2 linked regions of the Arabidopsis thaliana genome follow. The protein of the gene in region 2 interacts with the protein of the main gene of each other region in a biochemical or structural test. Each region holds a gene or a part of one and is shown on either strand. Other genes may lie near its edges. The genes, in order: AT4G39270 and NIK2.

Region 1 (6,336 bases), on a different chromosome or scaffold from region 2:
GCCATTTATTATCCCAACTATGTGAGAAACCATCTCCGTTCGACGGTTCTAGAAGCCCACAAACTATCTTCGGCCGTGGGTATAATACAAGGTAAAATTTATGTATTGAGTGTTCATCTTAGATCGTGGGTTGTTCAGGTATACAACATCAAGTACTCGGATTCACTCTAGGAGATTTTCAATATTGCTTTCGACGAGAGGCTAGAAAAAACATACGGTCTTTCTTTGTATATACAAGGTATGCACAAAATCTTCACTTATCAAGAAAACTTTGTGTAAACATTTCTTTGTTCTATTGGAAATATATATATTCAATCCATGTGTCATTATTTTGTCGCAGGTGGATCTCGATCTTATTAAACGGAATCCGATCTGCCGAGTTGGAATATGAGTGATATTTTGATTTATCTTTTTGATTCAAGATACTTTATTTGATTATCTCTTGGTATTTACAATTCTACCTTTGGTTATTGGACTTGACAATTCCATCTTAAACATGTGTATACTCTTAATTGCAATCTGGCTTGTCAAATTTAATTTTCACTTAGCATTTGGTTTTGTATGGTATAAAGTTTGTGAGGTGGTATTTACGATGTAAGGAATAAGAACTTAGATCAAATAAATAAGTAACTGGGCCAAGAGGCCCATTAAGTGCAAAGATGCAACGTGGTTAGATAACAGCAGCCCATTTATTAGCCTCATTCACACATCATTACAGAAACTTTTCGTTTTTTATATAATTGCCCCAAAGTATAAAACATTTCGATTCCCACCCCATACAAAACGAATTGCTAGTTTGCTACCCGAGAATATCAAAACTCAAAAGACTGGTCTGGTTTGATCATCGAAAAATATTATAAATTAACGGGAATTTTTTATCAACAAGAGATCAAATCATAACCACACATAAAAAATAATTAAAAATTGACGTCAAAAAATAAATATTGATCGTGTGTGTGTGTGTCTTTCTTTCTATACATCTTTCATACTCCGTCGACTCGACGCGCCACGGCTACTTCCTCTCGCTGACGATCCAGTCGCTAAACCCTCCGCCTGAGACAGAAGGCTACTTGTTCCCGCTGCGACAGGATCAGACACGCTCTGTCTCCAACTACCAAATATTCGACCGCTACTCGAAGATCCTCTCGAAGATCCAGTCGTACGGAATCTCTCAGATTCGCTGCTGTCTTCTCTCACAACTCTCAGTGGATTCTCCAAGGCTTGTACTATGTGTCTCATAAGCGGCCGTCTCGTTGGTTTTGGGTTAAGACAAGATCTAGCGACGATTGCCATTGCCCAGACTTCTTCTAAGAGGTCTTCGTCGACCAGAAGAGATTGGTCTAGAATGTTCATTACGGGTTCTTTCTCTTGCGATGAAATGTAAGGCATGATCTCGGTTAGGATTTTTTTGAATTGGGTTTCTTTACATGAGCTGATTCCGAGTTTCCCTGTGATAAGCTCCAGAAGTATCTTGCCGAAGCAGTACACATCGTAGGCACATGTTGCTGTAGCTGCAGACCCTGGGAATTTTAGGGATTGTTAGAATAGTTAAGAAATTAGCAAGCTTGTTTTATGCATTTGAAGATAAACTCACCAGGAACACTTTCTTGAGAAGACCTGAAGAGGGAAACAGTAGCAAGCTTGTTTGTTAGATGTTTAAATCAAAATTGGTTATATGATGAATCAGAGGCACTTACTGGGATAGTCTGAGCAATCGGGCTATTTTCCGTGGACGGCCATTGTTTTCTTGATGACAAGCTTTGCTAAAGCTTCCAAGCCTAACTTCAAACTTATCATCCAAGAGAATGCTACTTGCTTGAATATCCCTTATTGAACATTGGAAGACTCAAGATCAGTAATGAACTAATGGTGGCTTGAAAGTAAAAAAAGAGTAAAAGGAATGGTTTTTCATACCTGTGGACGACGGATGGTGAGCAATCATGGTGCAGGTAAGCAAGTCCCTCTGCTACTCCCAATGCTATTTTCAGTCTGGTGATCCAATCGAGAGATCTCAATCCGTTGTCAACTAGGGAATTGGATTTATAGAACAATGAGCTTGGTAAATCCCTATTCAGCATGTACTTGTATACCAAGAACTTATGAGTTGCGCTCTCTAAGCTCTTCCCTACGAATGGGATTATTCTCGGATGCGCAAACCGGCTGAAGAAATCCAACTCGGTTAGATAAGCTTCGTTGTTCTTTGTAGATTCCAAGCTGATTCTTTTCACAACGATCTGAACTCCGTTTTCTAGAACTCCCTTGAAAAGATCCCCAGATTGTCCTTTCTTGATCAGGTTTGAATCACTGAACTCCTTGGTGGCATTGAGCAACTGCTGATAGGTAAATGATGATCCAAGACTCCCAAAGTTTATAGAGACTCCTCCTCTTGAGGGAAGTGTTTCATCAGGAGGTAATGGGCCAACACCGTTGTGTCTTCCTCTAGGATGATTACTTGTTGATGATCTGTTTCTTCGACGGACACAGAAACTCACTGTTATTGGTAACACTATGAGAATGAGCATAAGCAATATAGACCCTCCAACTGCAGCAAGTATAACTATTTTCGTGTGGCTTAACCAGGAAGTTTTAGAACTCTTCTTCTCTTCATGTTGTCCGAAATTGTTGAAAGTTAAGCCCTTTTTTGAATAAAACAAAGTGCAATCCGACAACTTCCGCTGCTTCTCTGGGCCCTGAAGACAATTGTTGCTCAATGAAGCTCTGGTTGGCACAAAGTCAGGAATTTTACCTTCAAAATAGTTTTCTGACAGGTCAACAACTTGGAACCTTGTCAGTAAAAGTGTGAGATTGCCGTAAAACATGTTCCCGGATATGTTAAGCATGGAGACAGTAGAATCAAAACTGACAGTGGTATTAGGCAGCATGTCAGAGAAGTGATTTCCAGAAATATCTAGAAACTTGAGCTCCGGTAACGACCATAACCTGGACGGTAAAGCGCCTATGAAACCACTGCCTCTGAAGTCAATGATCTGAAGTTTACTCAGCAAACTAAACAGATCAGGAGGTAGGGATCCTGAAAGGCGATTTCCCGCAATTACCAATGTCTGCAAGTTCCTTAGCCCTTTCAAATCTGATGGAACCGAACCTGACATTCCGTTGAAGCTGAGATCAAGGTCAATTAAAACAGAGAGGTCTCCGAGTGATGGAGGTATTGAAGAAGTCAAGGTGTTACGCGAAAGATTCAGACGCTGGAGCTTTGAGAGTGCCCCAATATTAGCAGGAATCGAACCAAACACCGAGTTTGAGGAAAGATCAAGGATTGATAGATTCTGAAGAGAGGTAAGAGACAGAGGAATATCCCCATTGATCGCATTCTTTGAAAGATCAAGAACTTTGAGATGTGATAACCGAGTCAAACTTTCAGGGATGGTTCCTGTGATTGAACAGGAGCTAAGGTCCAACACCTCTAAAGTCAACAGACTCGATCCAAACAAAGCCGGGATTGGACCTGGAAGATAGAACCTTGAGGCGTTGAAGGAAGCTAGACGGGTGAGATTGACGAGAGAACCAACTGAGAATTCCGGGTTTTGATTCCCAATCCTTGTCCTTCTGAACCCTGAAATGTTGATCTTAGTTACTCTACCATTCTGATCACATTTGATGCCGTTCCAGTTCAGACAAGGATTGCCTTTTACAGGCCAATCTCTGCTTCGTAACCCAAGAGAAGACCTTAACAGCAGAAGCGCCGATTTCTCATTCAGAGAACTTGTCTGTTGCTCAAACGTTGACTCTAACAACAAGAGGAGGAATAAGAAGAAGACCAACAAGGATGTCTTCCTCAGAACCACCATGGTTTCTCTAAACCCTGGTGACGACTAGTACTTCGAAAAACTTAAAGCCATTCATTGCCTAAGATTCAATTGGAAAAAAGCTTCGCGATTTATGGAAATAATCAAATCTCTTTTTTTTTTGGGTTTCCTTCGAATCCGATCAATAAAGGAAACTTTCTTTTTGTGATTATTCAACAAAGATATATACTAAAAAAGGTTCTTCACTCTGTTACCTCTGCGACTTTCTCTGGCAATTACTTTTCTCTGTGCACTTCAGAATCAAAAACGATTCATTGTTGTTTACCAATCATTTTCTGCTGCCTCTCTCTCTCTCTAACTCTTCCATGTTTTTTTTTGTCCTAGATTTAGAGAGAGAAAGATGGAAAGTCTGATATAATACGAAACAGATATTTTTATATAATATTTGATAAAAACTTCTTCTTACAGAACTGTTCTGGACAGAGAAAGCTTCAGACTGGTCAAGAACAGCGGCCGTTCGAAGAAAAGAGAAGAAAGTATAAGAAAATAAAAAAAGTGAGAGAAGGTGGATCTTTCGTTGTATACGTGCACGTTCCCAAGATTTATGGTTCGATCTCGTGACCGAGACGCAGATACAGTAATTGAAAGTGAAGTTCTGAATACGGCGTCGTTTGAGGAGTTTGACTCTCAACGATCCCGCCCAAGACAGCTTAACGAACTCTTAAATTAATATCATTTCAAAAATACTTAAAGTTTCTGCTGACGTTTAATATGATAACCACCATTTTAGTAGTTTTGCAAATAAATAATTGAATTCCTAGGAGCTACGATGCTACTCCATTTCTGTAAATTTTGTATGACAATTATTTTTCCTCGTATTAAAACGACCAAAATATACTAATAATAATTGTGGCTTTATTATGAGCAAAATGATTTAGTTGTCACTCTTATAAAAAGTCGACGATACTTTTTCATATTACCTGCGATATATTAATAATCAGATTTCTTAAAAAAATCTTAGCCAGGTTATTTCTTGTTGAAAAAGCTCTTCTACACGCTTTAGTCAGCATTTTCAGCACAAAAATCGAAATCAAGATACTGAACCATTTGTAATTGACTTTGTATAACTACTACATCTTCATTCTTCATCCGTCTAATTTTGGTATACAAAATAATTAATCCTGTAAAAAAATAATATTCAGACAGTCAAAATATTTCAAGTACAGAGCGAGTGTATCCAAATATTCAATGATTGAAAATTGAATTCCATTGAAAGATTTATATGTTCACATATCTGCACATCTAGCTTTCATTTGAATATCACTTAACATACCAAAATATTTGTACAACAAAAAACGTCTATGCTAAAGTTTGGATATTACAGACTGTAACATGTCCACGATGCTATTGCGATAAGAATCTTTTCATATGAATTTATTGCATGTCATAATTAATGACAAAACAAATATGTAAATCCATAGCACATTATCGTCATAGTCTTTGCATATTATTTCATTTTATTGTTTTACTAATTTCGCCGTCAGATTCATTGGGCCGGAAGTTATAATCTTTCCAATTAAATTAGATAGGCCCAATAAACGAAACTCAGACCCAACTATTGTATGACATAATGACGACGAGACGAAGGACAAAATTGTCATTTAAGGAATAAAAGATATTCTTACAAAGATATTTTTTGCTCGAAACGAGGAGAAAAAATCATTAGTTATCGAAAATGCTCACATGATGTGGGCCTAACCACTAACCCAATTAACCACACATCTTAATCAGAGTAAGTTGAAACAAATCTTTCAGCAAACCCTAGAAAACATGTTTAACCCTAGTTATTACGTCACACCTGTTCTATAAATTAAGGCTGCGTCTTATCACCTCAAATCACATAAGTCTCTCTCTTACATTTTGAAACCCTAATTTCTCTTCTTTTCCCCAAAAAAAAATGTCTGAAGTTGAGTACCGGTGCTTTGTCGGCGGCCTTGCCTGGGCCACCAATGATGAAGATCTTCAAAGGACGTTCTCACAGTTCGGCGACGTTATCGATTCTAAGGTCTGTTACACGAGAGATCGGTCTCCCGGATCGAGCCGATTCCGATGATTCTGATCCTCGACGGATCTGATTCCGATCTGTTTCTCTGTTACTTGATTCGATTACTGTTACTATGTTCTCTCTCGTTCTTTGTTACTGTTACTTAATTTGTCCCATCGGTACGTTCATCTTCCTGCTTCTATGAGCTCGGAGATCGATCGATTTTTGCTTTATATTCATCGCTTTGTTTTATATTCCTTCCACGATTGTTTTTGCTGATGTGTATGATTTTGTTTGTTTACAGATCATTAACGACCGCGAGAGTGGAAGATCAAGGGGATTCGGATTCGTCACCTTCAAGGACGAGAAAGCCATGAGGGATGCGATTGAAGAGATGAACGGTAAAGAGCTCGATGGACGTGTCATCACCGTGAACGAGGCTCAGTCGAGAGGTAGCGGCGGTGGCGGAGGAGGCCGTGGTGGAAGCGGTGGTGGTTACCGCAGCGGAGGCGGTGGTGGATACTC
Region 2 (6,008 bases):
AAGAAGAAGTGAATATCACGCAAGAGATATTGAAAGAGAAACCGAAAGAAGAAGACGAAGAAGAGAAGAAGAAGCAGGAGATGATCATGCATCATGGAAGAGAAAGCAAAAGAAGAAGAAGACAGGTTATTAAGATACCAAACGACGATGTGTTGGAAGAGATTATAGTAAGGCTTCCAGTGAAAACCCTAACTAGATTCCAAACCGTGTCTAAACACTGGAGGCATACGATAAAGTCTAGGTAAATCAGGAAGAAATACATGTTGCATCAGAAAACAAAAGAACCCAAATTTCTCTGTCTCTATGAAGTTAGAAGAAACGGGTCTAAGCCAAGCATTCGTTACAAGACCATGAGGTTGGAGTGGTCTTTGAGTCGTCTAGTGGGAGAAGAAGAATATTTAACTAGCAAGAAACACAAAGAGAGGCGGATACTATTTTCCAAGAGTGTGGATGGTCTTTTTTGTTTATATAGTGGTGTGGACATGAAACAGCCAATTATGGTGATAAATCCAGACACAAGATGGTCTAAGAAGCTCCCTCTTGCTAGGATTCAACGAAAGAATTATTTAGACAGCAACAAGGTAGAGTTCTCTCGCCTCGGGTTTGGAAAAGACAGCGTCACAGGAACATACAAACTAGTGTGGTTACGTACCAAAACAAAGAAGAAAATAAAAGAGGAAACCTCATCGACGATGACATGCGAGGTTTTCGATTTCGTTTCTACGAAATGGAGGCGGTGATTCCACCTCCTCCTAATCATGGGATAAAGCATGAGAATATGTCTTTCTGATACCAAAACCTGTACAAGATCACAGCATACAACAAAATACACAATCTTATATATGTTTTTTACAAACCCAAAGCCATTCATATAGTTTCTCTTGTCATCTTGGACCTGATAACTCCATGGCTTGAACCAGCACCGAGGAATCATCTGTAAGATCCGAATAACGTTCAGAGGAAGAAAACTCGTTAGGTTTACTGTAACTTCTATTGGTTTCTGCTCTCTGAGAAGAAGCTTCCCATTTCTCAACAAGACCATCGCCTTCAAGCATTCTCACAACTTCAGACATCTTAGGACGGTGAATGGGAAGATACTGTGTACAAAGCAAAGCCACTTGAACCATTTCTTCCACTTCTATTCTATCGTAGTTGCTCTTCAAATCCTTGTCTACTATCTGTTCTAGCTTCTTCTCTTGTTGTAGTTTCTTTACCTACAAGTAACCCCAAAGAAAAAACCCTAGAAGTGAGTATTTTTAAGCTAACTGAAACAAGAAGAGAAAATGTTTTACTCTTTTACTTCTTACCCAATCAAGTATCGCTCCTCTTTGGTTTGCTGCTTTTCCGAATTCAAGAGCTCTCAATCCAGTAATCAATTCGAGAAGAAGAATCCCGAAACCGAACACATCTGTCTTCTCAGAAGATTGTCCTGTTGAGAGATACTCAGGTGCAATGTGACCCACTGTTCCTCTCACGGCGGTTGTCACATGCGACTCCTCATGATCCAAAAGCTTAGCCAACCCGAAATCTCCGACAACAGCTTCAAAGTAATCGTCAAGAAGTATGTTCGCAGCTTTGACATCACGGTGAATGATCTTTGGATCACATTGCTCATGCAAATACAGCAACCCTCTTCCTGCTCCTAATGCTATTCGCTTTCTTGTGCCCCAATCCAATACCGGTTTAGCTGCAAACCATTCACACGAATCGTAAACCGGGTCAATTCATGTAAAGAAATCAAAATCAAGGTGTTTAATTAACTACCTTTGAGACGAGAAGCGACACTGCCATTGGACATGTAAGGATAAACGAGAAGCCGTTCAGAGGAAGTAGTACAGAAACCGTATAAGCGGAGGAGATTCCGGTGGACGGCAAGGCTTATCATTTCAAGCTCTGTCTGAAACTGAACCTCTCCACCACCATTGTTTATATCCTTTAATCTCTTCACCGCGATGATACTTCCATCATGAAGACAACCTTTATACACATTTCCAAACCCTCCTTTTCCGACCAGATTCTTGCTGCTGAAGTTACTAGTTGCGGATTGAAGTTCTTTGAAATTAAACCTCCTTAGATTCCCTAGACACATTTCTTCCTTGTTTTGCTCTGTGTAAGACCCAAAAATTCACACACTCACATTTGTCTGGTTTCACATTCAACAGTTAACGAAAAGGGATTAAAAATGTCATTGTGGGTCTTACCATTAATGTCAAAGAATAATACTTGTTTGTTATGTCTTCTTCTCCACCAAAGAAGAAAACCAAAGCCAATGATCAACAAGCAAACACATGTCAAGCTTACACCGAAGACTACCGCGATTTTCCGGTTTTTAGTTCCTCCATCAGATGATTTATCTAACAACAACAACAACAACAAGAAGAAAAGAAAAATCAGTTTAGATATATTCTCTAGGATTCAAATATTACTTTAAAATATTGAAAATTTAGATATTACTTTGAGAACTGTTCAAGGTGATTGACATTGGCTTAGGCTGAGTCCCATTACAGTCTTTCTCAGTTCCTGTTGGACAAATCTGAGAATTGCCCATAACACTGCATAACAAGTTAAATAAAAACTATATAATATAATTAGGGTAACGTATAAAAGTGGATAAATTACAGAGAAAAGAAAAACACAATTACACTGTTACTTTCTCAGAACAGAGTAAAACAGAGCAGACAAATATTCTTTCTCGTAAATAGACTTACTTGAATGTTTTGGCAAGTGATCTTGGAACTGGTCCACTCAAGTTATTATACGACAAATCCCTGAAAAACATTTACAAAATATATATAAACACAGATTTATATATGTAAAATATAATTTAAAGAAGAAAATAAAAGAAAGAGAATGTACAAAAAAGTGAGTTGGGTCATGTTTGCCAATGAGCTAGGAATTGTTCCTGTCAGGCTGTTATTATTAACCCTCCTGCTCCACAATTTTCAACACAAAAATAATCTCTCCATAAATAATTTATATAAAAAATATGATAAAATAAACAAAACGAAAAAATGGATAAAATCATACAAGTACTGAAGATTTTTGGAGTAAGAAAGAGTGAATGGGATTTGACCAGTGAAGTTATTGGTAGAGAGATCAAGTGTTTTGAGTTTCATCAATTTCCCAATCTCATGAGGGATGTTTCCTGTTATGTAATTGTTCTGCAATAACCTGTATCTCCAAACAAAATTATTAGAAAACTAAAGTGATTAAGAGATGAAGAAACAATGTTTTAATAATTACTACAAAACATACTTACACAGTTTGAAGATTTGTTAAATTTCCAATACTTGATGAAAGAGTTCCTGATAAGTTTTGGCTTGGAGCTTCTCTACATACACACAATAGTAAAAACTGTAAACACATGATTACATATATGTGTGTGTGTGTGTGTGTGTTGGTGTGTAAGTGCTTACAGCCTTATGACAAAACCATCAGAACAAGTGATCATGTTCCAGCTACATGGATCAACTGCTGTGTCATCCCAATTCATTAGAACTCCATGAGGATCAGTCAGTGAGCTTTTGATTCCTATTAAGGCAACAACTAAAGAAGAAACAAAAAAAGAAAAGCATGTTTTAGGAAGAAAAAAGGAGAAACTGAGAAGTGGGGGAAGATTTTGTTGATGAACATTACCTTCAAAGTTAACACCTTTGTCTGTGAGTTCTGCAGAAGAAGAAGAAAGAAAACAGATAAAGAAGAAGAAGAAAGTTGAAGAGAACAAAGCATAACTCTTTTTTGCTTCTCTTCTTCCTTGCAACATCTTTGTCCGAATCAAAACTTGTTTTTCTTGAGAGTATTAATCTCTAAGGTGCAGAGTTTGAGGTTTATTTCTTTTGTATAAGAAATATTCTTTTTTTCGATTCTTTGTTTGGAGGTTTTTAAGAAAAAGATGGAACAGAGGATTTTGATTTGGAAGTATTTGTGAGTGAGAGTTAAAGAGGGAAAGAGAAAGAGAAAGATTTGTCTGCCAATTATTTATCTAATGGTCCTCTAGACTGTAAACTGGAAAAGGCCAGAGACAAAATCGGGAAATGTTTAGTTTTCAATCATGTGATAAAAAAACAGAATTCTATAAGATTTTTATGGTTTATATACTTCGCGCACACAAAAAAAAAAACTTGATTTATATTAAGTTATCTACAAATATGGGTCCATTTATTTAATTTCGTCTCTCTTACCAGAATTCGACTTCGTTTTTTACATATATGAGAATAAATTATTGAAAAAAAACTATATTGTAGTGCTTAAAATTACAAAAATGCAAAGATGGTTTACTATACAATCGTAGACACAAAACAAAATTGGTGAAAAAAAAAAAGACACAAAACAAAATATATCTATATCATAAAAAATATACAAATGAGTTTAACAATGATGAAATATTACATATGTACGATTTTTTTGGTTTAATAAATAATTTTGTTTTCTTTTAAATCAACTCATTGGCAATCGACTGTTTTCAATTTCAATTATGTATATTTGCTTTGAAGAAAATGTATTTTTCTAGACAATCAACTGTTTTAGAAAAACTTAAGATTTAATATTGAAAATAAATAATTATGTGAAATGTTGTATTGAATGTTGCATAGTTATACTGGTACATGGACAATGGTGTGAGCTAGTGGATTTACCAGCCTTGCTCTTTAAAAAGGGATGATGCTACCAAATCGAATATGTACTAAAAACAAAAAATCAATTAATATGTTTTTTGGGTTATAAAATCAATAGATATGTTACTTACTCTTTAGACTTTTTTTTGAAGTAATGTATTTGGATTCGAAGACCTGGTTGTGTTCTAAGTCTAGAGGATTAATAGACTCAACCTGTTCTCGGATGTAGGAAAGCAACAAACGATAATCAATTAGACCTAAGATAAGCCTTCATAAAAAAAAATACATCATACTATTAATCAATTAGAGCAGGTGAAAAGTGAATTTATATGGTAAGCACTAAGCACCATTAATCTGTTATTAATAAAGCATTTATATTCCGGGAAGAATAACCAAGTGGCCTCGAAGTGATAAAGTGTGAAAATTATTGTGATGTAACGCAAAGTTAAATAAACTGTGAATTATAAAATTATAATAGTGGGACACTCGTTGTGTCGATGAGATATACTGTGAGTCTGTGACTTAGAACTTTTCTTTTTCTTTTTTAATGACTCCCTTTAACTCTGTTTTTATTCCCACTCATCACAGTTAATATATGTTAATATCTTCATAACTATTCATTAATTATATTAAGATATTTGATCCTTTTTCTATCTATGCTCTAAATTCGTGCTAAAATATGTTTTGTCAACCATTTGAAATTAAATATCGTTTATCAATGTTGTTTGTTGATAATATAACATGTGCTTTCGCCAAATGGATGGTTTTCTTTTCTTCCGAATGTGACAATGTCAATTGGATATTTTAAGCGGTGGAATATTAGATGGTACTTTAGAGGGTAGAATTAGAACTTGATAAGACGGAAAACATATGATCGAAATGAAGTTAAAATGAGAAAACTACAAAACTCGAAATTCCAAAAGAAGAAATAATGATTGAGAGCTTAACATTTGGTCTAAAATAAAAGAAAATTGTTAGAGAAAACAAAAGTTTGAAAAGAACTTACCAAATGTAGTACATAATAGTTATAGTTAAGTTGATCAAGAAATTAATAATGATGCGACTTAATGTTATAAAATAGTGATTTTCCCCCATTTTGTCTTTCGATTAACATATATGGAAATTTGATATTTTTTTCTACCATGTTGTTCCCAATCGGATGTGCGTATATTATTATTTTACATGAGTCTAGTACTTCATTACTTTACTACTGCACAATGAAAAAATGATTGATGAAGAAATTATTGGATCGAGCAACTGCTAAGCTTATATACAAACACAAAAATCAAATCTTTGTCTACGCAGTGATTAGTCAACAGACAAGCCACTTTTTAAACCACAAAAGCAAACTGCTTTATAAAGCAAAAGCTGTTCTCCTCTATCTTTCATCATTAC

What was found.
Region 1: the proteins of NIK2 (region 2) and AT4G39270 form a complex in vitro, tested with the Arabidopsis thaliana proteins (one large-scale study listed by BioGRID).

Annotation. Positions count from the first base shown.
Region 1 is NC_003075.7:18,274,347-18,280,682, reverse strand, and holds AT4G39270 (Leucine-rich repeat protein kinase family protein), read right to left. Parts: upstream 4,373-6,336; 5' UTR 3,810-4,372; coding exon 1,915-3,809; coding exon of another isoform or gene 1,827-1,914; coding exon 1,698-1,826; coding exon of another isoform or gene 1,694-1,697; exon of another isoform or gene 1,618-1,693; coding exon 1,595-1,617; coding exon of another isoform or gene 1,557-1,594; exon of another isoform or gene 1,521-1,556; coding exon 973-1,520; 3' UTR 742-972; downstream 1-741. Other genes in the region: AT4G39280 (phenylalanyl-tRNA synthetase, putative / phenylalanine-tRNA ligase), read left to right, coding at 341-391; CCR1 (cold, circadian rhythm, and RNA binding 1), read left to right, coding at 5,725-5,832, 6,116-6,336.
Region 2 is NC_003074.8:9,278,798-9,284,805, forward strand, and holds NIK2 (NSP-interacting kinase 2), read right to left. Parts: upstream 4,064-6,008; 5' UTR 3,764-4,063; coding exon 3,637-3,763; intron 3,547-3,636; coding exon 3,417-3,546; intron 3,332-3,416; coding exon 3,260-3,331; intron 3,172-3,259; coding exon 3,028-3,171; intron 2,932-3,027; coding exon of another isoform or gene 2,929-2,931; coding exon 2,857-2,928; intron 2,769-2,856; coding exon 2,709-2,768; intron 2,553-2,708; coding exon 2,455-2,552; intron 2,355-2,454; coding exon 2,202-2,354; intron 2,107-2,201; coding exon 1,765-2,106; intron 1,688-1,764; coding exon 1,308-1,687; intron 1,215-1,307; coding exon 896-1,214; coding exon of another isoform or gene 885-895; exon of another isoform or gene 800-884; coding exon 753-799; coding exon of another isoform or gene 734-752; 3' UTR 716-733; downstream 1-715. Other genes in the region: AT3G25550 (F-box family protein), read left to right, coding at 81-241, 317-638, 734-790.